Tamandua tetradactyla: one gene and its partners. The protein of the gene in region 2 purifies or fractionates together with the protein of the main gene of each other region. This does not show direct contact. Links are inferred from orthologs where the notes say so. Each region holds a gene or a part of one and is shown on either strand. Other genes may lie near its edges. The genes, in order: LMNA, HNRNPM, DDX39B and U2AF2.

Region 1 (7,802 bases), on a different chromosome or scaffold from region 2:
ACTATATGATATTGTGAATTGCTGAGTGTATGTGTTGGGAATGTTTGTGCTTCTTGTAATTTTTTTTAATTAATAAAAAATTTAAAAAAAGAAAAGAAAGAACTGGAGGTGCTGGGGAGGTAATAAGAGTGGGGAGCTGGGATAGGAATCCAGGGACTAACCTCTGACCTCCAGTCTTCAGGGTAGGCGAGGACATGGGGAGCAGGGCAGGGGGCAGTTAGGGCCAGGAGATTGTTGCTAAAAAGCGCCTTGGAAGCCATTTGGTCCCAGCCACTCCATCTGCAGTGGTGAGCCGGTGTCCACATCTCTCCCCAGCTCTGTACATTTCGGTGATGTCAAGTTGGTAGCTTGAAATCAGCCACAGTGAAAGAATTTACACCAAGGAAATCGGCAAATGCGACACCCCAGGGCTTTTTTTGCTTTGGCCTTCAGTAAACGTTCGCAGGCACACCGCTGCCCTACGCTCTTCTGTCCCTACTTTACAGAAGAGGAAACTAAGGTCTGAAGACATGGAGTGACCTGTTCAGGGTCACATGGCAGTTTTCTTCATTCAATCAATCATTTGCTTAGCAATTTTGAGGGCCTCCTCTGTGCGGGGCACTGGAGAACACATCCCCTGTACTGGGGGAGCGTGCAGTCTGGTGTACATGCAGACGACCTAAACAAGCTCAGGCAGCTCTGTGGGCTAAGCACAAACACAAAGGAAAGTACTGGGGCCCACAGCAGACTCGGGGAGCTCTGAGGCCCATCAGTGTGGTCAGAAAGGCCTCCTGGGGGACATGACTCCTAAACTCACATCTGGAGGATGAGTGGGAGATAGCCAAGATGAGTTGGGGAGAGAAGATTCAAGGCAGAGGGAATAATGTGTGCGAAGGCCTGGGTTCTGCAGAGGGCCTGCCAGCCCCAGGGGATCCCCGTATCCTTTTTTGCACACTCAAAGTCCTACTGTGCCTGAGTGGTGACTGAGGGGAGGGGTTTACAGACTTAGAAATTCCCTCTGAGCCATCAATCAAAAACTCATGACAGTGACACGGCACCATTACTGAGTTCCTGCTGTGTATGAAGGCCCCAGACCAGGGGCTAGAGAGGGCACAGTATCCACCAAGCACCATGCAGACAGCACCCACTTGGAGATCAGGTGAGGGTAAGGGTAAAAGCTGGGTGTGGAGGGTGGGGGATGTGGAAAAGCAGAGGGAGGAGGTGAATATTTAGCAGGGGAGGCGGGTGGAGGGAACATAAGGATAAGCAGGCTCAGCTTCCAAACAACAAACATCTATTGAGCACCTACTGTGTGCCAGGCTCTGTGCCAGGTGCTGGGAATACAGTGGACCAGCTCCAGTCCCTGTCCTCAGGGAGCTCCCAGTATACTAGGAGAAACAGAAATGTAAAAGGCACTTACAATATAGTGTGATGAAAGGCGAGTGACACCCAAAAAGGACCACGGGGGATCTCCCAGGGAAAGTGACATCTAAGTTAAGTCCTGCAAGATGACCAAGCTTCAGGTAGGTGAAAAGTGAGGGAAGAGCAGATGGAAGGGAAAACACAGGAAAAGGCTGGATAATGAGAACACGGTGTGTTCAAAGACCTGAAAGAAGGTCCCTGTGGCCGGAGAAGAGGATTGGGGGCAGGGGCGGTGTCAGCGGCAGAGAGGAGGTGAGAAATGAGGCTGGACCGGCTGGAATTTTGTTTTGAATCTAATGGCAATAGGAGCTGTTGTAGGGCTTTAGGTAGGAGACTGCAGGGTTTTAGGTGGGGATTGGAGGGTGCTGCAGGAAGGGGCAAGAGTGCAGGCAGGGAGACCAGTTAGAGGCTACTGCAGGTAAGAGACGATGGTGGCTGCAGCACAGCGGTAGCGGTGGAGGTGGGAAGTCGGTGGTCTGGGGGAGTATTCTGAGCTGTAGCTGTGAGTACGTGGTGGACTGGATGGGAGGGAGGCAGGGCAAAGGGACGGATCATAGATGGTGCCAGATTTCTGACGTGAGCAACCAGGTGGACAGTGGTGTCATTTACCAGAAGCTGGGGGCACTGGCAGGGGAGTGGGTTTGGGCTGCTGGGGGCAGAGTCAAGACTTAAAAACTCAGAGTTCCTGGCTCTTCGGCCAGCACCACCTTCTTCCCTGTTAGGGCTACCGGGAAAAGGTATAGAGAATGTGGGATAAAGGAAGGGGGACGTGGGGATGGGGTAGAGCAAGAGGAAAAGGAAATTAAAAAAAGTAACATTGGCTAACCCAGGCCCAGACATCATGCTGTGTGCCCTATATGTCCACTTCGGTTCTTACCACATCACCAGCCGAAATGACCCACCTCTAACTTTCCTGCCCTATATCCTGCTTCGCTCTTCTCACCAGTGGAGATCATTACTAGGAATTACATTATTTACTTGTTTACTAGCTGCCTCTCCCCTCCCACAGAATATCAACCCTTTGTTCTTGTTCTCTGGTGGATCCCCAGTGCCTAAGGATATCTGACATGGTAGGTGTTCAATGTAAACTTGCTGAATGAAAAGTTAAAATCCTTAGTGGGTAGATACTATTAACAGTGGCCCAGGTCACAGCTAATAAGTAGGGAGGTTGGGACTCAAATGACCATTTTCTTAGCCCCTGGGCTAAGAAGGGACACAGGAGGGCAGCTGGAGGGGACTCAGGATAGCCAAGGGAGCTGGTCAAACCCATGGGGATGCCCAGGTCTCAGCCACATGGGTTGTCTCCTGAATCAGAAACAAACCGGTAGCCTTTGTTTGGTCCCCCGACTGTGGGATGCCCTACCGGAAGCATAGAACGTGGGAGAAACCAGGGATGGTACCTGAGCAGGGAGGGCAGGGCACCAGGGCCCTAGTGTCAGAGCCCGGACAGGAGCCAGTGGTTGGCCAGTAGCGCCACCTGGCGGCAAACACGTGTCTCCTCCATCTGTCCCCTGCTCCCCAGGCAAGCTGACACGCCACCCCACCGGGAATCCTCCCTGAGTACCTCGGGTGCTGGACCTCCAGACATTCTTCTCATTCTCTCCCTTTGAATGAATCTCACTCATTCTTCAAGGACTCCTTCAAATCTGCTTCCTCCAGGAAGTCTCCCCAAGCTTCTCCCAGCTCCAGTGATCACTCCCTTCTTGGTGGAATGTTAAGCAAAGACAGCATCTCCAGCCTCCCGGAGCTGTGATGAGAATTAGATAAGATCAGGTCTGTAAGGGCCAAGGAGAAAGAGTGGCACCAAACAGACACTCAGGAAACAGCGGTCCTTTTCCACTCCTTTCTCTGACTTCCTCTTCCCTTTCCTGAAAAGGAAGCCTGATCAAACAGAAGACACAAGGAAGTCACAGGGCCTGAGCTCTCTAGGCCTCAATCTCCTCTGTAAAATGAAGCCATTAGATAACTGATGAAGCCATTCATTCACTCATTCATTCAACTTCTATTCCAGCTCTGATATTCCATATAGGGATTATGTCTTTTATACCCATCAGTTCATCTGTGAACCCCTTAAAAGCAGTGACAGGCTGTGTCTTATTCAATATCCCCTGATGACACTTAGCACAGTGCCTGGCACAGGGAGGGTACTAGAAAAATCCCTCCTCAACAACCTACCAAGGTATGTTTACTACTTCCCCTTCCCTGCCCCCAGAGGGCAACCAGCCCCGACTGGCACCAGGTACCTCCCCTTCCCTCGCTCAGCCAGAAACCAGAGCTGGCGCCACTGGGTGAGGAATCTGGGGACCAACTGTCACAGCTCCAGTATCACCTGCCTCCTGGACGCCTGGGTCCAGCGCTGAGTCCCAGAGGGGCCCTGTTAACCAGCTGTCCTGGGGGACCCAGGCTCCACTCCAGCCCCTCTAAGCTACTGTCCCTGGGGAAATCAGACCGTGCAGGGGATCTGTAGGGGGAGGGCTGAGGTGGCCCCAGGGAAGGAGGAGGTGTGTTTGTCCAGGTTCAAACCTCAAACTGGGTCCTCGAGGCCCTTGGAGATCAAGTCCACAGTGACAGAAGGAGCCACGGTGACCGACTCTTCCCTCTAATCCCCAGTCCCACAGACCATTTCTGCCCCCACTTTTAATCCTGTTTGTCCATGTTTTCTGAGTTATGTAGGCTACTTTCTGTGGCTCATGGAAGGCAGGGATCAAGATCTTTTATGTAGTCTACAGAATTTTGCCCAATATATTCTTACATTCTCATTGATTATTAATTATTTAATGAGTTGAGCATGGTCCAGTAACGGAGAGGAAACTGGCTCTCAGCAGGAAGGATGATGGTTAGATAGCAGGGTGGACTTCCCACAAAGGAGAGATATTAAGAAAAGAAAAATGGGAACCCCATAAGGCATAGAAGAAGAGGCTCAGCTAAGTAAGATGGGGAAGAAGGCATCCCGGTAGGAATAGGGAGATGAATGAGATGACCCCTTTAAGGACCTGTCTGCTTGGTAGGGCAGCCTTGGTGGTGGCTTCGTGTGCCTCCCTCTCTCCCCAGGGACTCTGAGCATAGGATGGGAGAGCGGCAGGCGTTAGGTGTGTGCCCCCATCCCGGGTACTTGGTGTCTGGACAGTGACAACTGGTGCATGGTTTCCTCCAAGAGAATGGACGCAACTCCACATAGAGACACCCCTCCCCCACGTCTGGGTCATACACACCACACCTGTCTTCCAGGCTCCACGTGAAACCTGCACCACTCCACTCGCAACTTTTGAGAGTTTATGCCCTGCAACCAGGCTATCACACACCCAGACACACACTTGTACAGACACAATGCACACTCAGGCTACTCATCTGAGTCCTTTGTTCCCCAGACCTGAGACAGGAGCCTGGCCTGTGTGTGTGTGTGTGTGTGTGTGTGTTTGTGTGTATGCGTGTGTGTCTGTGAGTGTTAGAGAGACAGAGACACAGTTTGCATTCCAGTACTCCATAGAAATTATTTTTGGAATTATCTGCTGTTTGGGATGATCTTATTTTGGCAAGTCTAGACCTAGAACTGACTTCAAGTAACTCATAGTGGGTGAGCATCTCTTCCAGTGTCTGGCACATATTAGGAGCTCAATAGGAATTGGTTGACCGACTGAATGACTGAATGAATGAATGTATGCAACTTAACTAACAGGGACCACAACTCGGCTAAAATCAACTTCGAGGTAAGAACAACCAGGCAAGGAAACTAACACTGACTGAACGCCTAGGATGAGCCAGGCAGTGTGCTAGGGACTGGGCTTATTATTTCCATTTGGAGGTGAGGAAATTGAGGCTGAGCATTAAATGACTGCTCAAGAACCAGAAGCCTCCTCCCCCTCACACCTGAGACTTCACACATGCAATTACACTCAATCTATCCTTTTGGAGTCTCTGCTCTAGTCGGGGCTGTGTGCTGGGCACTGGGGAGCCAGAATAGGGGGACAATGACAAAGACGAGAGACACAGTCTTCCCCTCCAAGGTCCTGGAAGGGGGAGATACGGCACCTTCACACCTTTCTAGTCATAAGGAAAGCCGTTTCCAAGCAAATTGTTTAAGTAAGGCTTTCTACCCTCATCAGCATAACTATAGATTGGGCAAGCAGGAGTAGGAAGACAAAGGAGTACCCATGGACAGGAACCCAGTGTGGGCGCACAAATGTGTTGTTTGGAGAGAACGAGGTCTGGTGAACAAAGGAGGCCATCAGCCCCAGGGAGCATGGGAGGGACCCCTCAAAGTTCCACCCTGCGAGCCCCACTCGTAAAGGTGTCCACTCACGGGCTCCCCTATGGTCTGGGCACTGTGGTACTCCCTGCTGTGCACAACCCCCCAAATACACACATATACAATCTGCAGGCACACACGTGATCCCAAGCACAGACTCCCATGTGTGCACATCCATGCCACCTACTTAAGTGCCCTCACACACGCACACCTGCCCTCCAGGGTGCCAGGTCCACGTCTACCTCTCTCCTGCAATGAAGGATGTTTGTCTGGAGTCACATTGGGACTCTGAGGGTGGACACGTGGTGCCTGGACACACCCAAGGGGCTGAGTCATCCTTGCTGTTGGATCAGTAATGTGGGTCCAGGAGGGACCCCCGCCTCCATCACCCAGCCCCTCAGCCCTTCCCTATTCCCATTCAGCAGCTGTCCCCACCTCACTCACACACACTTGTTTCTGTCCTTTGTTTTCCTCGCTGGGCAAATCCCCAAGGCTTCTTTGGTCATTAACCTCCTGCTTTAATTAGCTTAGCAGGGAGGAAAGTGGAGGCAGGGCAAACTCAGGGTGGGGGTCTGGAGTGGGAGACTCCTTTCGGTGGGGACAAGAAGGCTCAAATCAGCTGGTGGCCCCATAAAGACACCTGGTACAACTCTGCTATTTCTATTAGTGTGAAAAACAGTCACCTGGGCCTCAGAGTGGGAACTTTTCCTAGTGAAAGCCCCAAATCCCCAGTACCGCAGTTCCCCCAATCCAGGTCCCTGGGACAGACAGAGAGGGGACAAACTTCAGGAAGAGCCCACTCCCCGAGTTCCTGTCGCTACAAATCCTCCTCTACCACTGTCACCCAGTGGGGTGGCATCCGTTGTTGTTCATCTTGTCAATAATCTTATGTTAAATCCCTGAGCTGGGGGCACACCTCCCCAACCCGGGGGATAAGGATTAATTTAGGGAACTCTGCTGTGCAGCTCAGCTCTCAAGGCCTCCTACTGCCAGATCTATGAGGTCATCTCATTCATTCCCCTGCCTCCAAACAGGGCTTTACTTCACAAACCCGTTCAGATTTTCGGTTTCCAAGACACTCCAGAAAAGGACACCTCACCACTGTAGCTCATCCACCCGCTCTTATACTCCTCTTTTGGGAAGTCCTTCTTAAAGTCTGACTTCAGACCGTCAAGCTGCAGTACAAACTCTTTTCTTGGGAAAGACGTAGGCATAAAAAGGGTGACAAAAGAAATGCCGAAGATATGAGGTAGAAGGAGAAAAGACTGCATTATGTTCCAACTTCCTCAAACTATCTCTAAAAGTACGCAATCACCCAGTTTAAGCTTTAAAAACTTATTTTCACTTTCACCAGATTTCCAGAGTCAAAGGGGCTGAATTACTGGAGAGAGATGCATGAAGAAAAGTGGAATGACAGAAACGGCTAAAGGACTGAGCACTCCCAAGCTGTATTCGTGGCCCAGGATGAAGGAAGCCTGGGTCCCCAGTCCACCCCCAGCCTCTCCTCCTTCCGTGGCACCCAAAGCTCAAGCCCCTCACCCAAAACTGTTAAGCCCTGCCATGCCTGCGTCCCCCTTCTCCCCTCTCTCTCACCCCCTTCGTCCTCCTCACTCCATTGCGCCACGGCCCTCCTGACCCTCTTCCACCCACCAGAGGGCCGAGAAAGAACTCACCTACCTCCAAGTCGATGCCTCCGAGACTGGAGACGGGGTGGGGGGTGGGGGTGGCTCGCCGCTTGGGGACGAGAGGATCGTGTCCTTTGCCAGGGGGGTCCAGCCCTCCAGCCCGGCACCCCATTTTGGCCCGCACCGCGCGCAGAGCCGGGTCCCCCGCACCCACCCCCAGCCCGTCATCGCGGCTGCGGGCTTTGTCTGCTCGGCCGAGAGCCGCTCCCCGCGCCCGGGAGCCGGGATCGACCCCGGGAGAGCGCGAGGGGCGGGGAGCGGAGGGAGCGCGCGGCCCGGAGGCCGGGAGTGGGGGGTGGGGGCGCCGCAGCGACCCAGCCCGGACCGCTCCCCGCCCCTCCCCCCTCATTACCATAAAAAAGAGGGACCCAGGACCTGCGGGGCTGGGGAAGGAGACCGCACGGCGGAGGGCGGGCGCTGCATTAACCTTTTACAGACCCTCAACGCCTCCGTACCCTGCCCCCTCTCCC
Region 2 (7,793 bases):
TGCACTTAGCTCGTGTCCTTTAAAAAACACACAGCCGCCTAGCAGTATTGTACGGATGTACCATATTTATACAACCAATCCCTTTTGACAGACACCGGTATTCTTTCCAATGTTTACTTAATTTTTTTTTCCCCGTTACGAACAATGCTTTGAGCACCTGTGCAAATGTTTCTTTGGATCTTGCTTGCTCGGTCAAAGGGTATGAACCATCAACTTTCTTTCTTTCTTCTATTTTTTTTTTTTTACTTATTTTGAAATAATTTCACACTTTCAGGACAGTTGCAAAACTAATAGAAACCCTTACAGAGAACTCCAGCATATTCCCCCCACCCCACCTCTAAATACACCAGCTTTTAACATTTTGCCACCTTTGCGGCATCGTGAGCCACTGCCATCTCGCCCCTCCTGTGGGGCTGTATCACATCGCACCCACCCATTGAGCAAAGGGGGTCCTCCTTGTTCCCCTGCTGCAGACACCCCCATACCCTGGCAGGACGCTGAAGTCCGGTGGGGAGTTTCCCAGGAGAGTGAGTGACTGAGTGGTGGTGGGTGCACAGAGAAATGCCCAGAGGCTGCCTCCCCTTCTGACCGCATCAGCCCTCCCCGGGTGCCGGCCAAGGCCAGTGCCACACGGTCCCGGGTTCCCTCCTGTGGGAGTGGAGGCCAGTGTGGCCTCCCCGTCCACTTCGGCTCTGTCCCGCAGGTCTCCTTCCGCTACCATTGCCAGCTCTACTCGGAGTGGAGAAGGACCAATCAGAAAGTCCGCCTGAAGATCCGGGATGCGGAGGGCTCCGAGGGCACCCAGCACTGCCCACTCGCAGCTGGACTCCTGAAGAAGGGGGCAGAGGAGACGCCTGTGTGAAGGTTGAGCCATCAGGGCCCCCGCGCTGGGGGATGTCCTGGCATTTGGAAAGATGGAAACTGCCCGACCCTCCCCACATGGCCAGAACGCTTCTAGGGCCAAGAGACACCAGGTCCTGTGTGAATCACATTTTCAGCTTTTTTTGCACTCTGTTGTACACGACGAGAAGGACAGACGGATGTGGTCTTAAGCTCCAGACAAAGCGTGCACCCTGATCTCATCCTGAGGTCCACTGGGCACCTTTTCGGGCACCCCCCTCCCCCTGGCCAGGAGGGTCTGGCCAGCTTTTCGCGCTTCTCTACACCCAGCGGACTCGCTTTCCTGGCATCCTCGACTTTATAAAGTCACACTGAGTTTTGAAAAAACCTACCCCAAATGAATAAAAGGCACCCATGCTCGGCGAAATGGACTCATCGTTATGTTTCTGAAGCAAGGTCTCCAAGACAGGGACGTGGGACCCTTCTGAAGCAAGGTCTCCAAGACAGGGACGTGGGACCCAAAGGCAGTTGGGCCACCCGGAGGTAAAAAGGCCTTCAGCTTGTTCTGATGGATCTGTCATGGAAAAGGAAGAAGCAAACTCTGAGCTTTTAAGGGAAGAGCAGGTAGTGGGGTTATATAATAAATAATCTTAAAAATACATGCAAGAGAACGGTGTCCACTTATTTTGCATCTTTCATGAGCCAGATAAGGCGCCGGCCCCTTTACACTTGCTAATAGCTGCTGGTGGTGATGTCCACACTTTATTAGGCCCTCCAGGATGGCGTCCACATCTGGGCCTTCCCATACACCATCCCTCTGACTCGCACAGCCACCCCTGGTGTCGGAGTGGGGAGAGAACAGGCATTACCTCCGTTTACAGGTGAGAAGGCTGGGCAGGAAAGCATTTGGCTAAGGTTTTCCCTGGCTGTGGGAAGTGGAGCTGGGGTTGCTTCTCTGCCTTCCAAGAGGCCGTGGGGTCAAAGCAGAATGCGGTCATGTTGTCAGCAGTACCCATGTACTGAGCATTTTCTGTGGGCCCTGCTCTTTACATTTGAGGCCTCCTTGCCCAGGGCTGCATTTAATGCTTCACAGCAGCCCTGAAAGGCAAATTCTCAGGTTCTGTTATTCACCCCATTTGCAAACAGAGAAACTGAGGTGCAGGTGGGGTCCCAGTTCCCTGAGGGGCCTAGCACATCCTATTCATAATTGAAATGAAACTTCCTACCATTTTATGAATCCCAGCCTGGTACCCCTTTCTGCCCTGGACCTGAAAGGGAGAGGGAAGCAGCAGAGAAGAGTAATACAGGTGTAGCCAACAGAAAGGGGCAAAGGCTGGGAGGCTGGACGCTGCCTGGCAAGTAAGGAGGAAGGTGGCAGACCATGAGGCTGGAGTGTGTGACCAAAGGGCAGAGAGACGTGGCCAGACAGGCGGGCAGAGCCCCGTAGAACTCGGGTGACCCATGCAATGTGGTCTGCCAAACTACAGAATCACACCCTACTGCTATCTCTCGGCTGCTGCTCTAGAGCTGCACACTCTACAAAGACCCAGTCTCCTCTACCACCTCCCACCACCCTGTCAGTCCAACTGTGGGGTGCAGCACTCCTGGATGTGATGTAAAGAGGCTCCAGGACATGCCATCAGGAACAGAAAATGCCATTTCCTCTGCAAATCTCCAGTATTAGAGCTTTCGATTATATCAAGGAGAAAGTTTTAATTTGGTACTCGGCTGGGGTTTTTGTTTATTTGTTTGTTTACCTTCCCTTAAACTTTTGAATTTGAAACCATTTCAAACTTACAGGACAATTGTAAAAATAATACAAAACCAATACAGAGAATTCCAACACCTTCCTGCATACCCAGATCTGTTCATGTTAACATTTGATGACAGTTTCTGATCATTCTATAATCCATCTCTCTCTCTTCTAAACATCTGAGCTGAATGTAGGCTGTATACATCATGTTCTTTGAACACATAGTATTTTCATAACCATTTCCTAAGAACAAGGGCATATGCTTACGTAACCACCTTAAATGCAGCTATCAAGTTCAAGACATTTCACATTAATTCAAAGCCTACATGATAATTTAATTTTTCATGTGTCCCGATAATGTCCCTTTGAGCCTCTTCTTCTCCATTTTTAGACTCACTCCAGAATTTCTGGTTGTATTTATTGCCATTGTCTCTTCAGTTGCTCTTTTTTCATTTTTCTAAATTATGGAAACATATTCAACATAAACTTTCCCATTTTAACCACTTCCAAACATACCATCCAGCGGAATCAGTCACATTCATGATGTTGTGCTGCCCAGAATTATAATTTAATAACATTGTCCTTATTTTTTTTCCTTATTATTGACAATAACCTATCTATAGTAAGTTTTCAATATGTGTGGTGTTACAAAGCAAAATTTCCAAATATATTTCTTTTAAGGAAAAAAAAAAGGAATGTTGATGTAAAGGTGACTGTGAAGGAAATAAGTCAGGATATGTCAAAACCCAGGACTCTGGGCAATGCTGGGTTAAGTCAACTAGCTCATGGGAGTTCAGCCTTGAAGAGATTTTGCCTCCTCCACCAGGGCCTGGCTTGTTCTTAATCTCCAGTCACACCCATGCTGGGAGAAATGATGAGAGAGGTGGCGTTTTGTCCCTGCTGCTTTGCTCTCTGCCACCTCCTCTGGACCCTGCTGGGCACAGGAACTCAGGGATTTGGGGGCTCCTACTGTCCCAGGGGCCCTTCCAGTCTAGGGTTGGTATGGATGGGATAGGGGACTCTAAGAGAGAAGAGATTTTGGAAAGGAAGGGGGAGAGAAGGAAATTAATTCTGTTACCAGGGTGAGTTTAGGAAATAAGTGGGAACGGAGCTGGAAAGGTTTAGCCTGTTTGTCAGACTGAACTACTGGATTTAATCTGTAGGCCTAGAGTTCCCGAACTTGAGTTAGAATCAACAGGCAGAAATAAGCAGCTAGGAGGGTGTGGCAGGTGAAATACTGCTCCAGAAGCTTATGAGAGAGGGGGAAAACCCCCATCTTTTTCCCTTGGCAAGCCTAGAAAGAGTTTGGTGGTTGGATGGCAACTTCTTCAAGAACCAGTGAAACTTTTCAAAATTCCAAAGACACCAACCAGGGAGGGAGCTGCTGGGTAAAGGAGCCGGAGGCCTCTGAGTGTATCTCTAGGCACCAACCATTATCTCTCCCAGGACACAGTCCCCCATAGCAGTCCAGAACACACCAGATTGGGTACAGGTCCCACACTTGGCAGGGTAGCAGGATCAAAGAACTCCTATTAAGCTTAATGGAATCTTCTGGTCTATGGCTCATCGTTTCCATCATGTTTTGAGTTTTGCTTGTTTATTCATAAAGAAACAGGCATAAGCACGTAGTCCCGATGTGTTCAGTGAGAGAGACTCAAGCGAGGGGCTTGGAAGCCAGGAGCTCCCAGCGTGATCGGGGAGAGCGACAGGAAGAGCACAGCTACTTATAGTGCGGAATGTTTCTTGCTCTGAGAGATGGCGCTTTTCACACCTGTGCTACTTCCCAGACTCTTCCCGTCCTGCCCTCCTTGCCTTGACTAACTCCTTAACGTTCTAATAAATCTTCCAGGAACCCTCCCCAGACAGAACTTTCGCTGTCTCTTTGACCCCAGCTCTGCAGGAAGCTGAAAGTGACAAGGTCCGGGTGGGGGGAGGGGGCGATGTCTCCCCTACTAGATTTTGAGGCCGGGTCGGGTAGCCCTAAAGTGTCTACTCCAAGTTTATTGCGGGAATGAATGAATAGCACCTGCCGGTACGCGCCTGCGCGAGGCAGGGGGCGTGGCTCCAGGGGGGAGGGGGAGCAGGCGGGAGCCTGCGGCGGTGCGCGCAGGCGTTACTGGTCGCTCCGGGTCACGTGAGCGCGCAGGCGCAGCGTTGCTCAGCCCGCTCCCTCACACAAAGCCCAGACGCGGAGAAAATGGCGGCAGGGGTCGAAGCGGCGGCCGAGGTGGCGGCGACAGAACCCAAAATGGAGGAAGAGAGCGGCGCGCCTGGCGTGCCGAGCGGCAATGGGGCTCCGGGCCCTAAGGGGTGAGTATTTCACTGTTTTCTGCACCGGGTTGGGTCCCATCGTGGCGGCCCGCGGCCTCGCGCCGGCGGCTCCGTTAGGTCTGTTGGCGGCCTCCCCACCGGCGCGGCCTCGGTTTCGGCCCGGCCCTTCCCCGTGAGGCCTACTGAGAGCGGAGGCGACTCCAGGAGCCCCTCCAGGGTAGTCCCTTGCTCCCAGACCTCGGCCTCCCCGCCTCCAGCCCTTGCTGGCGGGGTCCGACCACGATGCTGAGGCCTCAGGCCGAACCTTGGCTCGCGGCAATGATGGCGCGGGCTCCGGAGCCGGAGAGCCCAGGGTCCGAGGTCGGCTCGGCTCGGCTGCTCGCAGGTCAGATGACCTTGGGCGCGTGGTTTAGCCATTCAGCCATCCACCCACCCGGGGTCTCAGTTTCCTGATCCGTAAGGTGGGGGGAGGGGAGCGAGTGCACGCGAGGGCCCAGACCCCCGCTTGCCGTCAGACCCAGTGAACGGTGGCGGGGAAGGGGGATGGTGTCCGGCAGGGCCTCGAGGCCGGGTCGGGGCGCCCCCCCGCGCTCCGCTGCTTCTCCTTGGGCTCGCCCCCCCCCCCCCCCCCCAGCCCCGCGGGAAGTGCCTCGCTCGGAACCGCCCCTCGTCCCACGCTGTGGCCCAGGCGCTAGGCGCTGGTTGCTTCCCGCTCGCCCTCCCCAGGTGCGCAGTAGGTATTTGTGAAGTGATCGGACTGGCTGCTTAGCGTTCGTTCTTAGAAACAAAAAGTAAGGGAGGAAAAGTCCTCTTCCGTATAGCAGAGAGATTTTTCGTCATTGAGGGGGAACTTATAATTCAGAACCCGTAACCTTTTTCGAGTCCAGATCGGGGCTCGGTCTCCTGTCTCCCTGGATTTTTAAGTTTCCCCGGACTCCCCCCCGCACCAACCCACTGATTTCAGATTATGTTCGTTTGAAAGAGAGAAGCCAAATATCAAATATGTTTCGGCCCCAACCAGTGGTCTTGGGGTGAGGGAAGGAGAACTGTGGGCGCACATTTGATTTCCCCCAGATTTGCAGTATGATTAACGTAGAAATTGGGTTTTCGATGATTGATTTCTGGGAATTAAGAGAGCGAATGTAAAGTGCTTATGTTAATGAGCGCTCAGTAAATGCCAGTCATGTTGTTAGATGGGGAAAAGTTCCAGGGCCTTTCTCTCCTTAGGTAGGGAGAAACGAGATGTTTCTAAAAGTGAAATTTGTTTTGGACCACCACCGTGGTTACTGGCCTCAGATATCAAGAAAGAATTGTCCTTTAATTATTCCCAATACCTTTACTTTCGACATCGTGGGAAACGGATGCTCATTTCAACTTTTGAGGGCCTATTTGAAGGACTTTAATATACATTTATGTCCTGTTTTGCTTTTTCTCTTAAAGCAGTTATCAGCAGTTCATAATGGAGTGCAGTTTAGAACTATGCCCAGTCAAAGATTGAGTTACAGGTTTATCATCCGGGGTACATTTTTAAAAATTTCCATTTCCCGCTATTTTCAAGTAAATAGTATTTTGTGACCTATAAATTTGACAAACATAATGTGTGGACTTTTAGAGCCTTAAAGTAGAGCTAAATCTAGGATTGGCTTAAAAGAAGGATGTTTGAAGCTAGCAACGCTTAGATGTTTTTTGTAAGACCAGTGGAAAACTTTTTTTGCATTATGTAGCTCATGAAGCAAAGCTCTTTAGAAGTCCATCTCTAGAGGATGGCCGAACTTTTTTGCATTGTGAAGCTCTTGAAGTGTAAAGCTCCTAAAAAGTAAGATGCGCAGAGGAAACAAGTCTGAGGAACACATTTTTAGTAAGGTGTGTATGCTGTGATAAAAACAAGTGGGGTGCCATGAGAAGGAGCACAGAGGAGCGTTTCCCCGATCCTAGCTAAAGAGGAGATGGGGATGGCTAAGAACTTTGAATTTTTATCTTGAAAACTGTGAGGGATGGGAAGTGAGTGAGAAAGTAGAAACTTGGTTCTGATCTTCTCTGTGGCCGCCATGAACCCTTGGTGTGAGCTTGTTCTGCAGTTTTTTCCTCCTGGATGTGGAAGGAGGTGGTGTTTTACTCTGATGAGACATCTGTTCCAGTCAAGATTCAAAGTCAGAATATATTTAGTCAGGGAAAAAAATAACTTTTTTTAGAGGAATTTATAGGTTTGATTTTTGTAAAGATTATCATATATATTTTTACCATATATATTTAAAATTATTGACTTACTTCCTTTCCAGATTAACTTTGTGGCTGAGATGGATTGGGTTTTTTTTTGTTTTTGTTTGTTTTTTGGTTTCACACATTTAATTTTTTTTTAAATAGGTTTTTTAAAATTAAATTTTTTTAAACATAACAACATACAAAAATGAACATTCTTACCTTATGATCATTCCATTCTTGATATATCAGTAACTCACAATATCATCACATAGTTGTATATTCATCACCATGATCATTTCTTAGAACATTTGCATCAATTCAGAAAAAGAAAAAAGGAAAAAAACTCATACATACTTCCCTCATTGATTACTAGTATTTCCATCTACCCAATGTATTTTAGCCTTTGTTTCCCTATTTTTAGCTACACCCCTTATCACTCCCTTTCATTGATCACTTGCATTTCAGTCTTCTACATTTATTTTAACATTTGTTCCCATTTATTTTTAATTCCTATGTTTTACTCGTCTGTCCATACCATAGATAAAAGGAGCATCAGACACAAGGTTTTCATATGGATTGAGTATTTTAAAAGTTGAAATTCGTGGTTGTACAGAAAGATCCCTGGGGAGGTGATGTTAGTGTTAACTCTTTTATAGTTGAGGACACTTTTTTTCCCCCCACAGTAGTTGAGAAAGCTCAGGAATTTGACCCAAAGCCATTTCTTTCT
Region 3 (7,331 bases), on a different chromosome or scaffold from region 2:
AACTACTCGTTGAAGAGCATTTTGAAAATTATTACTTTTTTCCTTCGTTGCTTTGTATTTATGTTATATTACAAAATAAAAAAAGTTTCCAAGGACCTTTCTTGGTTCCTGTCAACTTTCAGGCCCTTTCAATCACATTCATCCCCAAACCACCTCCCTGGCTCCTCCAGCTCCAAGACTACCTAGTGCCACTAATAACCCTCTTGCACCTAGAAACAGCTCACCTTTGGTGCTACTGGCTCTGTCCTTATTTCCTTTAACCTGTAACAATACATGACATTTGAGTGCCTTTTCTCCCACTTAGGTTGCCATGCTTTGAGTCACATAACCTTGCAACCTCAGAAAAAACGGATTTGGTACCTGACCCAGAAGCCAGCCATCTTTTTTTTTTTAATTACTATGAAAAATAACATATAAATAAAAGGGCAATAAATCTTAAAGCACACTGCAAAAAATTAGTTGTAGAACAGATATTAGGGTTTAGTATGGGTTACAATTCCACAATTTTAGATTTTTATGTCTAGATGCTCCAAAACACTGGAGACTAAAAGAAATATCAATTAACGACTCAGCAATCATACTTATTTGTTAAAACCTATCTTCTCTGTTATAACTCTACCTTCTCCTTTGATCCTTCTCCCAGTCTTCAGGGGTATCTGAGCTATACCCATTCTAATTTTTTCATGTTGGAAAGAGCTGTCAATAATATGGGACAGGGGGAACGGACTAGCTGACACTCTAAAGAGACCAGCCCCTCTGGGTTTCAGGACTTAATAGGCGTAGGAACCCATCTGGAGGTTGTAGGGTTTCTGGAAAGTAATCATAGTGCATGGAAACTTTGAGAATCTCAGATAATGCCCGAAGTGTTCTTTAGGGTTGACAGGAATGGATTTGGTTGGTGTTTGAAACCAGTCATCTTTAGACCAGACATAAAGTTTTCCAGAGCTCTGAACTGGCCCCAAGATAGGAGGATTAAAAGTCCAACCAACCTTTATTCATCAAAATAACAAATTTAAAAGTGACAGATCTCTATGCTACTTTTGGATCATTAGCACTTTCGTGTTACCATGAATGAGACTAATCTATGCAAATCTCTTCTATTGCTAAAATCATTTTTAGTACTTCCTTACTTTTTGGCCTATCCCATATATAAACCTTATCACCTGGGAAACCATAAACACATGTTTCTTGTGGCTCTAAAGAGCACAACGAATGAGGACTCTATGCCCAAGTGAATAATTACCTTCTGATGGATGCTCAAAACCACAGTCAACAATGGCCCGGAGCAACTCTGGTTTGAGCAGGAAATCACGAAAGCCAGAGCTATGGATGGAGACATAGGAGCCCTTGACATCCTTCTTGGCAGGAGCCTCAGCCCCATCTCCCCCAGCTGCTGTCTCCACTTCATCATCTTCATAGTCCAAGAGCTCATTGTCCACATCGTTTTCTGCCATGACTGGGCCGGCAGGGGTAGAAGGGGAGGAGGGGTCTCTAGATGGGTTCAGGCAGAATAGATGAAATCAAGGAAGAAAGAGTAGAGGACTGGGGAACAGTAGAGGAAAAGGAAGACACTAATTTCTGACTGAAGAGCTAGGGAAAAAAAAAAATAAAGATGGAAGATATCAGTCATGAGTAGAGCCCTCACAGCCTCAAGTCTTCATTCCCACATCCTTCTCTTTCCCTAAATCATGAAGCCTTTATGTGGAAAGAAAGAAAACACACAAAAAACATAAAAGTGAAAAGCAATTATAATACAAGGAATGGAAAAAATGGTTCCAGGACATACGTTTAGGACACAGATTGCCAGCATGACTAGGATCAGAATTGCAGAAATCAGGAAGTTGGAGGAGGAAGACCAGTTATAAACTCTAGATGGTAAGTAACATAGTAAGGGAAAACGAATAATAATAATTAAAAAAAAAAAATACAGCGAATGGGGGAGGGGTGGAGTATAGAGAATGAAGATGAAAATTCCTAAAAAGTCCTCAAGGCAAGACCTTGTGCTTTCCCTATTATCTCAAGGTGTGAACCTCCTAGACAGCAGCCATCAGTCAAGGGTGATAGATAAAGGTCATCAAGGCGCAGAGCGCTCAAAATGAAAAACATCATGTGGCTGTCATCCTCCCCCGAGATTTCTCCAGCCCCTCATTCCTGAATACCCTCCTTTTGCCACTTAAAAAAAAAATCAATGTGTAATTAATGGCGGGGGTTAAGAAATGACTCAGTCAGGGGAAAAAAAAGTCATCTCTCTATCATACGCTGAATGAGATGCTAATTATTAAACGGGAAAGAAGTACCCTCACTCCAAATTTAATAGAACCTTCACCAAATGGCCACACATCATCGTTGTACTACTCCGCAAGGGAGATTCCTTCCGGAGAAACACTTACACAATGACATCATTCGTAAACATTTGGAAAGTATTTCAAGTAAGGGCAGGCAAGTCGAGGTGAGAAAAATCCACCAGAGGCCGGAAGTTGGCTCCTATCCCTGTTGCCTCCGCGGGCCTAAAGAGGGCCCCGAGGAGAAGGGGAAAGGGGGAAGTTGAAAAGCGCCCCGCCCTCTGTAAATGGCCCAAACCAGGAAAGGCTTAGCACCGCCTCTTTCATATCAGAGCTGGGGCCTCTGATAAGCCAGACACCCAAGGAGGACCCGAAAGTAAAAGAAACACAATGGCGCCGGGGCCACCATCTTGGATTGCACACCACCACCCCCAGCTTCTCCGGCCTCCCCCCAAAAGATCTTTGCTCTCAAAAGAGACGCAGAAAACGGAAATAACGATCCAAGTAAGCCCCGGCGACAAGACTGTCACCTGTGGAATAGTTATCCGGAGCCCAAGAGACCAAATGGCTGCGAAAAAAGTACGGATGGAGGTGGATAATACCGAAGACCGAAGCTTACCTGACCAGGGCGGGCGCGTATGGCGGCGGCAACAGCTACGAAGAAGAGAATCTGCCTTCACTTCCGGTCGGCGGCCTCCTTCTCCTCGTCCTCCCGCCTTCTCGGCTGTCAGCGCGCAGGCGCACGGGAGCGAATGAAGGCCCTTCCGCGATTCTATAGTTCCGCACGCATGGAGGTTGCCTTTGGAAAAAGCCTGTCTAAAATTGTTTTAAGACGCCACTTCTAATTTCTCGGTTACTGCGGGTAGTAACGTGCATGACGGAAACCAATATCCCCTCCCATTATTAACTTTTCTCTCTTGTCCTACTCTTCTCTACGTCCCTTGTCTCTCTTTTTAGGTTCTTGTCACACAGGTCTTCTCTCTGGGCACTACATCGTGGGTGCTTGATGGGTGAGAGCGTTGGGGACTGTGAGTTCCCACGGGGTCCTTGGCCCGGTCATCAAGGTGACCTGGTGGCGGCTGAGCTCGCGTTACGAGCTTAAGCCCCCTGCTAGGGATAGGAGAGGCGGTCTAAGGAACTGGAATGAAATATAGTGCTCAGGAGTCCTAGCCCTATCCACTCCCCAGCGGTGGAATCGGAGGGCAGGAATGGGAGACACTGGCCCAGAATTGTGCTGTCGCAGTAGCTGATTTTTCAAGGGCCTTGAGGTTGATGGACGGGGTTGAAAATCAGAAGGATGTCTTGAATCTTCTGAATGGAAGATAGGAGTCTAGATTCTACCCTGAGCTTGAGAGATACAGAAAACTCCATAATTATTAACTCGACCAGAATGTTCTTAGTCGTCCCACCATCGCCACAGACACACACAGACCAGCCCCATTGTTCAGCCGGATTTTTTTCTGAATGAAACATTTGACACCCGTCTGAAATAATACAGAAGTTAAACGTGATGTCCTACTGCTTAACAAAAATGACTACAATCATTTGGCCAGGCCCTGAACTAAAGAAGCTCTTTACCTGTTATCACAGATAACAAGGGTAACCTCACTATTCCCATTTTATACACAAGCAGACAGGCTTTTAGAAGTAAAGCAATCTGTCCAAAGTAACATCTAGTAACGTGGCAGAGCCAGGATGTGGACACTTTCAGAACCTGTCTGTTTACCTCCATTGTATCCTGCCTACCTCTTAAAGAGGGAGAGGGGTTAATAATTACACGATGGATTGATTACCTTATTGGTGAGTGAGGTGGTGAAGCAGACCTGTCTTCCGGTTTGCTAAACCCCAACCAAAACCATTCCTGCCAACCCTAAACTTAGGGCTTTATCTGAGATTCTACAAAGGTTCCATGCACTGTGATTACTTTCCAGAAACCCTACAACCTCCAGACGATTTCCAAGGCCAGAAAAGTCCTGAAACCCAGAGGGGCCAGTTTCTCTGTAACATAACTTGTTCCATCCCCCAATCTCATATTATCGACAACCCTTTCCAACATGAAAAAATTAGAATGGGCATAGTGGAAATACTCCTAACGATTGAGAGAAAGATCAAAGGAGAAGAAGGCGCTATAACAGGGAAGATAGGGTTTAACAAATAAGTGTGCTGAAATCATTGCATTGATACTTCTTTTAGTCTCCAGTGTCATGGAGCAGCTAGAATGAAAAACCTAAAATTCTGAACTGTAACCCAAACCAGACTTTGAAATCTATAACTAATTCTTGTGGTGTGCTTTGAAATTTATTGCTTTTTTTAAATTTTTTTTTTAATTTTTAACCACAATGAAATATTATCTCACACCCACCAGAATGGCCATTATCAATAAAACAGAAAACAACAAGTGCTGGGGAGGATGTGGAGAAACAGGCACACTTATCCACTGTTGGTGGGAATGTCAAATGGTATGACCCCTATGGAAGGCAGTTTGGTGGTTCCTCAGGAAGCTAAGTATAGAATTGCCATATGACCCCGCAATACCATTGCTAGGTATCAACTCAGAGGACATGAGGGCAAGGACACAAACGGACACTTGCACACCAATGTTTATAGAAGGATTATTTACAATTGCCAAGAGATGGAAACAGCCCAAATGTCCATCAACAGACGAGCGGCTAAACAAGCTGTGGTATACATATGATGGAATATTATGCAACTGTAAGACAGAATAAAGTTATGAAGTATGTAACAACATGGATGGACCTTAGGACATTTTGCTGAGTGAGATTAGCCAGAAACAAAGGGACGTATACTGTGTGGTCTCACTGATAAGAACTAACATTAGTGACTGAACTTGGAGAATTTCAGTTAAGAGCAGAGGTCATCAGGAGATAGAAATAGGGTAGATATTGGGTAATTGGAGCTGAAGGGATACAGATTGTGCAACAAGATTGATTGTAAAAATTCAGAAATGGATAGCACAATACTACTTAACTGTAATACAATAATGTTAGAACACTGAGTGAAGCTGAATGTGAGAATGATAGAGGGAGGAGGCCTGGGGGTACAAATGAAATCAGAAGGAAAGATAGATGATAAAGACTGAGATGATATAATCCAGGAAAGCCTAGATTGTACAATGATAGTAACTAAATGTACAAATTAAAAAATGTTTTTGCATGAGGAAGAACAAAGGAATGTCAATACTGCAGGGTGTTGAAAATAGATGGTAATTAATATTTTAAAACTTTAACTTATGTGTGAGACTAAAGCAAAAAATGTTTATTTGGTACAAAATTTATATTTTGACTAGTGCATTTCCTAATATAACTTATGTGGACAGCTTAATTGAGCACCACAGTACATGGAACCTTGAGTAGGTCTAACCAGAGTGATGTCCCAATAAATCCCATGGTGATCTGAACAGTGAATAAAAAAGAATTTGCAAAGTCCCCTTGGGTGAATGGTGAAAAAGCAGGAAAATTCAACTTCCCCGAGTGGAGAATTCTTGATATTCTCACAAGCAGTGTGGACAACCAAAACAATAGGCCAAGCCCTCAATCTTGGGGTTTGTTGGGTTTGTTCATATGAAACTTAACCCCACAAAGGATAGGCTAAGCCTATGTAAAATTAGGCCTAAGAATCACCCCCAAGAGAACCTCTTCTGTTGCTCAGATGTGGTCTCTCTCTCTCTCTCTCTCTCTCTCTCTCTCTCTCTCTCTCTCTCTAATTGTATGATGATATGGCTGTCGCAGTGTGACTGTGTGGTTGGGAGAGCCTTGTGTCTAATGCTCCTTTTGTCTATCTTATCGACAGACAAGTAAAACATATGGATTAAAAATAAATAAATAATAGGGGGAATAAATGTTAAAATAAATTTAGTAGATTGAAATGCTGGTGATCCGTGAAGGGGAGGGGTAAGGGGTATGCTATGTATGAATTTTTTTGTTTTCTTTTTACTGCTTTTTCTGAATTGATGCAGATGTTCTCAGAAATGATCGTGATGATGAATATACAACTATGTGATGATAGTGTAAGTTAATGATTCTATAACAAGAACGGAATGATCATACGATAAGAATGTTTGTATATGGTTATGTATCATAAATAAAAAATAAATTAAAAAAAAAGAGTCACCCCCTAGAGAACCTCTTTTGTTGCTCAGATGTGACCTCTCTCTCTCAGCCAACACAACAAGCAAACTCACTGCCCTCCCCGTCTACGTGGGACATGACTCCCAGGGCTGTGAACCTTCCTGGCAAATGAGCCAGGACTCAGCACCAAGGGACTGAGAAAACCTTCACGACCAAAAGGGGGAAGAGAGAAATGAGACAAAATAAAGTGTCAATGGCAGAGAGATTCCAAACAGAGTCGAGAGGTTGTCCTGGAGGTTATTCTTATGCATTAAAGAAATATCACCTTGTTAGTCAAGAGGTAATGGAGAGGCTGGAGGGAACTGCCTGAAAATGTAGAGCTGTGTTCCAGTAGCCATGTTTCTTGAAGATGATTGTATAATGATATAGCTTTCGCAATATGACTGTGTGATTGTGAAAACCTTGTGTCTGATGCTCCTTTTATCTACCTTATCGACAGACAAGTAAAACATATGGATTAAAAATAAATAAATGGGAGAACAAACATTAAATTTAGTAGATTGAAATGCTAGTGATCAATGAAAGGGAGGGGTAATGGGTATGATATGTATGAATTTTTTGTTTTCTTTTTATTTCTTTTTCTGAATTGATGCAAATGTTCTAAGAAATGATCATGATGATGAATATACAACTATGTGATGATATTGTAAATTACTGACTATATATGTAGAATGGAATGATCATATGGTAAGGATATTTGTGTTTGTATGTTGGTATGTTTAATAAATAAAATAAAGAAAAATTTTTAAAGAGCATTACAACCTTAACTATCATTTATCCAACAGTATTTACCAACTGCCTACCCTGTGCTGCATGCTGTCCTAGGCTCTGGGGATACAGCACTGAACAGCTATGTCCTACAGCTTACATAAGAGAGAAGACAACAGATAAACACATAATG
Region 4 (7,601 bases), on a different chromosome or scaffold from region 2:
GGTGGGTGATCGCGGGCACCCCGGCCTCTCGGACCCCAGGCGCCTGTGGGAGGGGGGTGGCGCATGTCCCCAGGTGTGTCTCGCCCACCACCGTACCCCTCCCCCCGCGGTGCGCACGCGCCCAGCCCCCACCCTCCTCGGGAGAGGGGTCCTGCCCACCCCTAGGCGAGAGCGGGGGAGGGGCGTGGGGTGCCGGCGGGCAGGGAAGGCGCCGCGCGTGGGTCGGACGCCCCCTTCCGCTGTTGGCTTCTTGACCCGTGGGGAGGGTCCTCCTTCCGGCCGGGGTGTCCCTGCTCTCGACCCCATGGCAAACCCAGACATTTCGCGTTCCAGCCCCTCTTCCCTCCACGCGCCCGAGTCCAGGAGTTCCCATTTCAGTCCTCGAGAGTCCGGGCCCCCCCCCCGCCCCCCCAGGGTGGACCCTGCGAGCCCATCCTCGCCCCTCTACCCATGGCTGCCGTTTCTGTGCAGTGCCCCTGAGGCGCTCCGCTGCCCGGGTCTGCCCCCAGCCGCGCCATGAGTGATCGGAACAGCCGGAGGAGGACAAGTGAGGAACTGGGGCCCCCTCCCGACCCTTGGTCCCAAGGCCCACCCTTCCCCCCAGGGTAGTGCGGTTGGGGGCTGGACCGCAGATTTCCCTGGGTGACCCCGGCTTCTCCTCTCAGTGAAGAAGGACGATGAAGCCTTGGAGATCTCCATCCCCTTCGACGAGACGCCCCACCTAGACCCGCAGATCTTCTACAGGCTGAGCCCATCTCGAGGAAACTTCGAGGGTGAGCTAGGGCCGGGCGCGCAGGGCCTCGAGCCGGTGGCACACCAGGCCGAGAGGCCTGGGGTGTGATGCCGCCGCCCCGTGTTCCCAGAGCCTCCGGAGGCGGCGTCCCCCACCCTGGCCCGGATGCACGGAGTCAAGGCCCAGCTGCACTTGGCCCTGGAGAGGAACTCGTGGCTGCAGAAGCGCATCGAGGACCTGGAGGAAGAGAGGGACTTCCTGCGATGCCAGCTGGACAAGTTCATCTCCTCAGCCCGCATGGATGCAGGTGGGCAGGGGGCTGTGACCAGGGAAGCTCCACTGAATCGGACCCCTCTGCCACCCACCCTCCTCAGGGATAGAGGCGTGAAGCCCCCCTCCTGGGTTGGGTGCATCATGTCTCCTGGTAGCCAAAGCTCTCCAACCCTGTTTGCCCTGGCGGCCCTTTCCACTGTTCCAAGTCTCCTATCCCTGTCAGCCCCCGCAAATCTTGCCCACCCTGACTTCTGTGCCCTCAGGCACTCCTCTGCTGGGGTTCCCTGGGCACTTCCACTTCGCAAAGACCTGGAGTCCAGACCTCCAGCGTCTTCCCATGCCCAGCTTGATGGTCCCGACTGTCCCCTCCCCTTGGCTAATTAAAGCTCCTTTCCTACTAAAGACCCTAGATCCCTTCCTGGCCTACTCACCCTTCCCTAGTGGAGCCTCAGGTCTTACTTGACGTGTGTGTGTGTGTCAGCATCTGTTATCCCTCCAGACCCTGCCCAGCTTCTCAGCACACCCCCTTCTGTTGCCTGGTTCTATTTCATAGCCAGGAGCTCTGGGGTGAGCTCCTAGAGCTGGCCCACCCCGCAGCTGGCCCTCCCTGAGGCTGAGCCCCCTGGCTGCCTGTCTTCTCGTGGGCCAGGTCCTCTGGTGTCCTTGGGTCACCAGCTCCTACTGTCCTCAGGAACAGCTGAGGGTATCCCAGCTAGTGCAGCCCAAGGGTGTCGGACTTTCTCTGGGGACCCCGGCTGGCTCCCTGTCTTAAAAGCAGTGGCCTTTCCTAGCCAGTCAGACACAGGGGCCTGTGATTGCCAAGGCCTTGCCTGCCCCAGGGGCTCCACTCTTCTGGAGGGACTGCTAGGGTCCCCAGAAGACCCCCTCTCTACTATGGGAACCACCTGTGGCCACAGCCCTGCCTTGTCAGGTAGTCCTTACCCAGAGGCCTCGGACACCCGAACTCTTCCCCTCGCAAGCCTCTTGCAGTTGTCCACTGAGGCACTGGCCAGCTTTAGGGGCCCTGCTGAGCCTCTACAGCCCGGGTGCCTTGGAGATGATGCTGGCCCTTGCAGGAGACCCTCATTTCGGGAAGTCCAGCCTCTTCCCTTCCTGGGACCCAGAGTTTCCCACGGGAAAGGTGGCGAGGCCTCGTGCCTTCTCTTCCCTCCCCCTCCCGCAGCTCACGTGTCTCCCTCCTCCTGTCCTCCCAGAGGACCACTGCAGGGGGAAGCCGGGGCCCCGGCGGGCTGAGGGCGAGGCGTCCGAGCCCGAGTCCGCGGGCTCGTCGCTGAGCGCAGGGTCTGAGGAAGGCAGCTCCAGCGAGAGGAAGAGGCAGAGGCAGAGGGGAGGTGCCACTCGGAGGCGGTTCGGGAAGCCCAAAGCTCGGGAGAGACAGCGAGGTAGGTGGGGCTGGGGTGGGGCCGTGGGCACCTGCACAGTGACCTTCGCAGAGGCCCTTCCCGGCAGGCCGCCGTGTCCCCCCCGTGAAGAGATCAGTCCTGGGGTACCTGCCAGCTTTGACGGCTTGTCATGACGGAGCCGAGAGCTGGGGGGAGGCTCTGCTCTGCTCTCTTCCTCCGCACTCCGGAGCCTTCCTTCTTCAGTTCCCCATGGTTCCACTTCGGTGTCTTGTCTCCTTCTCCTCTAATTCTTCCATCTTTTTATCCTCCTGCTTTCCATCTTGTTCACCTGCCCTTTCCTGTATGGGGCCCCTCGTCCCTGCTTCTCCCCTCCTGGATCCTCCTTCTCTGACTTCGTTCCTTTCTTCTGCACGCACCCTTCACGCCCCCCGCCTTTCTCCACCGCATCTCGGAACCCCGTCTGCACCTGTGTACCTCTATGTCTCCGGCCCCTACAGCTCTGACTCTCTGCCCCCCGCCCCCGCAGTGAAAGACGCCGACGGTGTCCTCTGCCGCTACAAGAAGATCCTGGGCACCTTCCAGAAGCTGAAGAGCATGTCGCGGGCCTTCGAACACCACCGTGTGGACCGCAACACCGTGGCGCTGACCACGCCCATCGCCGAGCTGCTCATCGTGGCGCCCGAGAAGCTGGCCGAGGTGGGCGAGTTCGACCCCTCCAAGGAGCGGCTGCTCGAGTACTCCCGCCGCTGCTTCCTGGCCCTGGACGACGAGACGCTCAAGAAGGTGCAAGCGCTAAAGAAGAGCAAGCTGCTGCTTCCCATCACCTACCGCTTCAAGCGGTGATGCCCCCGCTCAGCCTGGCCGGGTTCCACACGGCTACTCTCGCAGCCCCTCCAGCCCTGTCCCCTCCTCCAGCCTCCCCAGCACCCGGGCCGCGACGGGAGAGGCGCACCTCTCTCCTCCGCCTCTGCAGCCCCTCCCGCCCCAGGTGCTCGCGTACACAGGTCTTCCCCTCCTAGCACCCGCCTTTCTCTCTTTCTCTGGGCTGGGGTCTCACTCAGCCAGACTCTGAAGAGCTTACTGCCCAGAGGGCTTGTTTCTGCCCTTCCCTAAGCACTGGTGTCCCTCTCCAAAAAGAAAGTCTTTGCACTTGCGCTGCACTCATCCTGCCCTCGCCGGGCACCTTTCCTCCTGGGAAAACTGGGAGGCGCGCTCTGGGAGTGCCACCTTCTCTCCTAGCGTCTGGAGGGCCTGTATGTACCCGTCTCCACCCCCATCCGCGAGAGAGGCTGGCCGGACCCCTCCCCGGCCGGGAGCTCCCTACGCATCTTCCGGACCACCCTAATTCCCTGTGAGAAAGAGAATTATTCAGAGAATTTAAATTAAAGAGAGACGACAAAATTTGGAATAAACCAGGCCCTAGCCTCTTCCTAAGAGGGGGTGGCTGTTGCCACGGAAACGCTGACGGGGGCTCAGGGGGTTCCAGGGAGCGGGCGGTCGGGCGGGAAACGGGGAGATGCGGGAAGACAGGCTGTAATTAGACCCCCGGAGGCAGAGGCGGGAGGGGAAGGAGCAGCTGTGCCCCCAGGAACTCCGAGGGGGCAGAGCTCCGGAGAACAGGCGTGAACCCTAGCCTCCGTGCCATTTGGAAGTAGAGGCGCCGCGGCAGGAGGCGGGACGCAATGACCTCTAGTCCAAGAGGCCACCGGGGACTAGGGACTCTTTGGGAGGACGCTTCCGCACGCCCGCAAGGCGGCGATAGCGCCAGGTTAGCCTTCTCCCGGAAGTGGGCGCTTCGCTGCCTCCTGCGCCTGCGCACCCGGGATGGAGCGCGCTTACGCAGTTGCTAGGGCAACCAGGGGAAAGCGGCCGGGCTTAACGGTTGGGAATTGGGGACCTTTTCGCGCACCCGCGCAGAAGGTTCTAGGCATCCGTCTCCCTACCCAGGCAGAGAAAATCTCGCCTCCGACCGACCTCTACGCAGGCGCACAAACCGAACTCGCGCCCCGCCCCTTCCGCCCCGCGCAGGCGCAAAAAACCGCGCTGACAACTCCGCAGCGGCCGCGCGCACCCTTCATCTCGCTGCCTGCTTTTGTCTCGCGCAACCTTTTCGGCCCATCCGCGAGATCGTTCCTTCTTTTCTTCTGTTCTCCCCACCCGGAGAGCCAGGTGTGGAGAAGTGGGATTCCGCCCCTTATCGCGTCCTTTCCCTTGACCCACCTCTCCTCCGTCCTCCCTCCCTGATCAGTTTCCGAAGCTGGAAGGAGCCGAAGCGCCGACGGAAAAAGCCGAAGCTGTTCATCGCCAGTGAGGTCTTCCCGAAACGGCCGCGGAAGGAGCCGAAATTCTCCGAGAAGGGAGGAGGGTGCGAGTGGAATTTCCGGAAAGAGCCGAAGCTTGGAATTGCGCGTAATCGCTGGCGGAGCCCGAAGACGAGCGCCGGGAACCTTCGGAAAGTGCCGAAGTCTGGGACGGTTAGGATTGTCGGAAGTAGCCGATTCTTTCCAGAGGGCAGGCGCAGACCGGGGGTATCTGCGGAAGGAACCAAAGATTGGGACAGTTTGAATTGTCGCAAGAAGCCGAACCCTTAGAGGAGGCTGAGAGTGGAGGAACGTGAGGTCCTACGGAAAGACCCGAACGTTGAAGACCTAATCTCAAAAGTTACGGGAGCCTGGGAAGCCGGCAAAGCCCTCGCTTCGGGGGTTTTCGGAGGCAGCCGAAGCCGCCACTTTCCGACCCCTTCCTCTGCTGTCCGGAAACAGCCGACGCATTTCCGAGCGAGGCTTAGGGGGCGGGGCAGTTCGCGGGTTGGCGGGCGGGGACAAGGGCGGAGCCGGGGCGGGGCGGGGCGGGGTTCCGGGTGCTTGATTAGGTAGGAGACAGCGAAGCGCCGGCGGTGGCCGGAAGTAGCCGAAGCAAGCGGCGGAAGTAGCCGAAGCGGGCGGGCAGCAAGGCGAGGCGAGAGCAGCACAGGCCCCGACGCGGCCGCCTCAGCATGTCGGACTTCGATGAGTTCGAGCGGCAGCTCAACGAGAATAAGCAAGGTGAGGGCGTTGGGGTCATGGGGCGACGGTCGGGGCGGCTCTCCACTTCCCTCCCTGGCCCCCGCCATTTTCTCCCTCCTTCCCCACCTCCTCCGAGTGCCGCGCGGTAACCCCCCCCCCCGCCTCCGCTCAGCGGCGCGCGCCTCGCCCACGTGACCTTTCTCTACGTTCCGCCGCGCGCGCGGCGAGACGAGGGGCGGCGGGCGCGGACCCGTGACGCATGCGCGCCGCTGCGTCTATTCCCTCGCCCCACGTGGCCCTGGGCGGAGGCAGTGCGAGGGACTGGGGCGCAAGCTAGCGAAGTGTCTTGAAGCGACTACTCTTTCCCGTAAAGGAGTTGATATTAGGGCCCGTAATCTCTTCTTTTTCTTCCCGCTGCCCTAGCACTTCCGCTTCCGGTTGGGTCCGCTTCTCAGTCTCCACGCCCCCTTTGTTTCCAAAATGGCGTCTGTGCGCTCTTCCCCCCCCCCCTTCACGTGGGCCCTATGCGTTAGGCCCTTCGCCCGGCTGCGTGGAGGCCGCGCGGCTCTGTCTCACTCCTTTTGCATGATTTCTGGTTAAATTTGCCTGTCAGGGTGTTTTTACCCTCCTCCCGCCATTGGTCGTGGGGCGCTTATTTGACCCCTGCTCCTTCGTGTAAGTACCCCTCTCGCAAGTACATTTACACACGTGGGGACTTCTGGCAGTTCTGGCAGTACCAACATGGAGTGTTTATCTTCCATCCTTTCCCCACTTGAGAGAAGCCCCAAATCCTGTTGTGCCCCTACGCTAAGAGTACCCAGCCTCGGCCTCTTGTATCTTAGCACAGAGGTAAGGAGACAGGTTCTGGGTAAGAGTGACCTGGCCTAGGTGGGTAGAATTGGGAAGGGTGGGACAAAGGTGCCCTTCAGGTGGCGCCGAGGCTTGTGACGGTTAGAACAAAGTACGGGGCTGTGCTGGTGCTGGTGCTGGTCAGGTTAGGAAATTCAAGTATATTAGACTTTGGGGGAGTTGGTAGGTGACTTCTTGTACTTCCTGTCTCCCTAGTTTGGTTTAAGATTGAAGACTTAGGGAAGACTGAGGTTTTGGTTCTCTTGGTGCTTGAGGCTTGAGTTGCCCATGTCTCTAGTTGGAGCCTTTTCTCCTTCAGTTCTTCAGAGGACTGGACTGTATGAGGGTTCAGGAATTCTCGTTTGAGCCTAGGCTGGACTTGGATGGGTGATGGCTGGGTTAGGATCTAGTGCCTGGGGAAGGGAATAACGTTTACTGAGTATTCACGGTATTTATATTTCATACTGCTTAAAAGTACAGGCTGTGGAGTTAAGTACACACCTGGGTTCAAATACGTGCTTGGCTGTTTAGTAGCTGTGCTACTTTAATACTTTTGTACTTGACTGACCATCGTCATTCTACTGTCATAGGGACTTCGAGAACATTAATACGAGTGGTAGTAATAATAGTTGTGGTTAAACTCAGTGCTTACCATGTGCCACACACTTTTTTAACGCTCTTTGTATGGTTCTTCTAAGTGCATCCTTGTAAGGGCTCTGTGAAGCAGAGATTTCCTTCCTTTTGTAGAGGATATGGAGGCTCAGAAAACTTAGACTTTACCAGATCTTAGGTGGTCAAAGATGGCTGAGATTAAACGGGTTAACATAGGTAGTTTGGTGTGTGCCTTGGCATATGCTAAGTGCCCAATGGATGACATTTGTTATTGTGAAATCATGGCCAGCACAAGCTTCTACTTAGGCAGATCTCAGCCTACTCCGGGATTGGGTCAGAGGTGGAGAAGCACGGGGAAAGGTGCTTTCCAAATGCTATCCGGCCAAGTCCTGACCCTTCCTCAAGAAGTGCAGACTAGGTCTTTCCGCTGTGTGCTTCTGTGTGGTTGGTGAGCAGAAAACGTGATGTGATGTTGAGCTCTGACTGGCTACAGGGCCATGTATCCATTCTGCTGTGCATGACCGTGAAGTGGTGCTGCCTGAGTTGTTCCTTGAGACTCTTGAAATATGCTTCTTGGGTTCTCCCAGAGTGACCCCACTGGTTGGGGAGGCCAGGCCCTCAGACCTGTCTTGTTTCCTGGTTTGGTGGACCTGCTCCCATGCAACAACTGCACACAGCATTTTGAGTCAACTGAGCTCCCTTTCTCATCCATTGTCCAACATTAGTATGTGAAAGAGGGTTCACGAATGGGACCAGCCACCCATA

The links.
Region 1: the proteins of HNRNPM (region 2) and LMNA fractionate together in Homo sapiens (co-fractionation; 3 studies listed by BioGRID, with this or other methods). This does not show direct contact. The link is inferred for Tamandua tetradactyla from reciprocal best matches to the Homo sapiens genes HNRNPM and LMNA.
Region 3: the proteins of HNRNPM (region 2) and DDX39B purify together in Homo sapiens (affinity purification with mass spectrometry; 4 studies listed by BioGRID, with this or other methods). This does not show direct contact. The link is inferred for Tamandua tetradactyla from reciprocal best matches to the Homo sapiens genes HNRNPM and DDX39B.
Region 4: the proteins of HNRNPM (region 2) and U2AF2 fractionate together in Homo sapiens (co-fractionation; 4 studies listed by BioGRID, with this or other methods). This does not show direct contact. The link is inferred for Tamandua tetradactyla from reciprocal best matches to the Homo sapiens genes HNRNPM and U2AF2.

What each region holds. Positions count from the first base shown.
Region 1 is NC_135330.1:9,116,872-9,124,673, reverse strand, and holds the start of LMNA (lamin), read right to left. Parts: upstream 3,125-7,802; 5' UTR 2,966-3,124; intron 1-2,965.
Region 2 is NC_135337.1:84,875,407-84,883,199, forward strand, and holds the start of HNRNPM (heterogeneous nuclear ribonucleoprotein M), read left to right. Parts: upstream 1-4,739; 5' UTR 4,740-4,790; coding exon 4,791-4,903; intron 4,904-7,793. Other genes in the region: E3 ubiquitin-protein ligase MARCHF2, read left to right, coding at 704-862. UniProt on the Homo sapiens protein: Pre-mRNA binding protein in vivo, binds avidly to poly(G) and poly(U) RNA homopolymers in vitro. Involved in splicing.
Region 3 is NC_135331.1:87,132,411-87,139,741, forward strand, and holds the start of DDX39B (spliceosome RNA helicase DDX39B), read right to left. Parts: upstream 3,033-7,331; 5' UTR 2,902-3,032; intron 2,798-2,901; exon of another isoform or gene 2,391-2,797; intron 2,115-2,390; exon of another isoform or gene 2,043-2,114; intron 1,591-2,042; 5' UTR 1,455-1,590; coding exon 1,244-1,454; intron 1-1,243. UniProt on the Homo sapiens protein: Involved in nuclear export of spliced and unspliced mRNA. Component of the TREX complex which is thought to couple mRNA transcription, processing and nuclear export, and specifically associates with spliced mRNA and not with unspliced pre-mRNA.
Region 4 is NC_135342.1:4,094,787-4,102,387, reverse strand, and holds the start of U2AF2 (splicing factor U2AF 65 kDa subunit), read left to right. Parts: upstream 1-4,389; 5' UTR 4,390-5,365; coding exon 5,366-5,414; intron 5,415-7,601. Other genes in the region: CCDC106 (coiled-coil domain-containing protein 106), read left to right, coding at 517-547, 666-773, 864-1,040, 2,221-2,409, 2,897-3,213. UniProt on the Homo sapiens protein: Plays a role in pre-mRNA splicing and 3'-end processing. By recruiting PRPF19 and the PRP19C/Prp19 complex/NTC/Nineteen complex to the RNA polymerase II C-terminal domain (CTD), and thereby pre-mRNA, may couple transcription to splicing.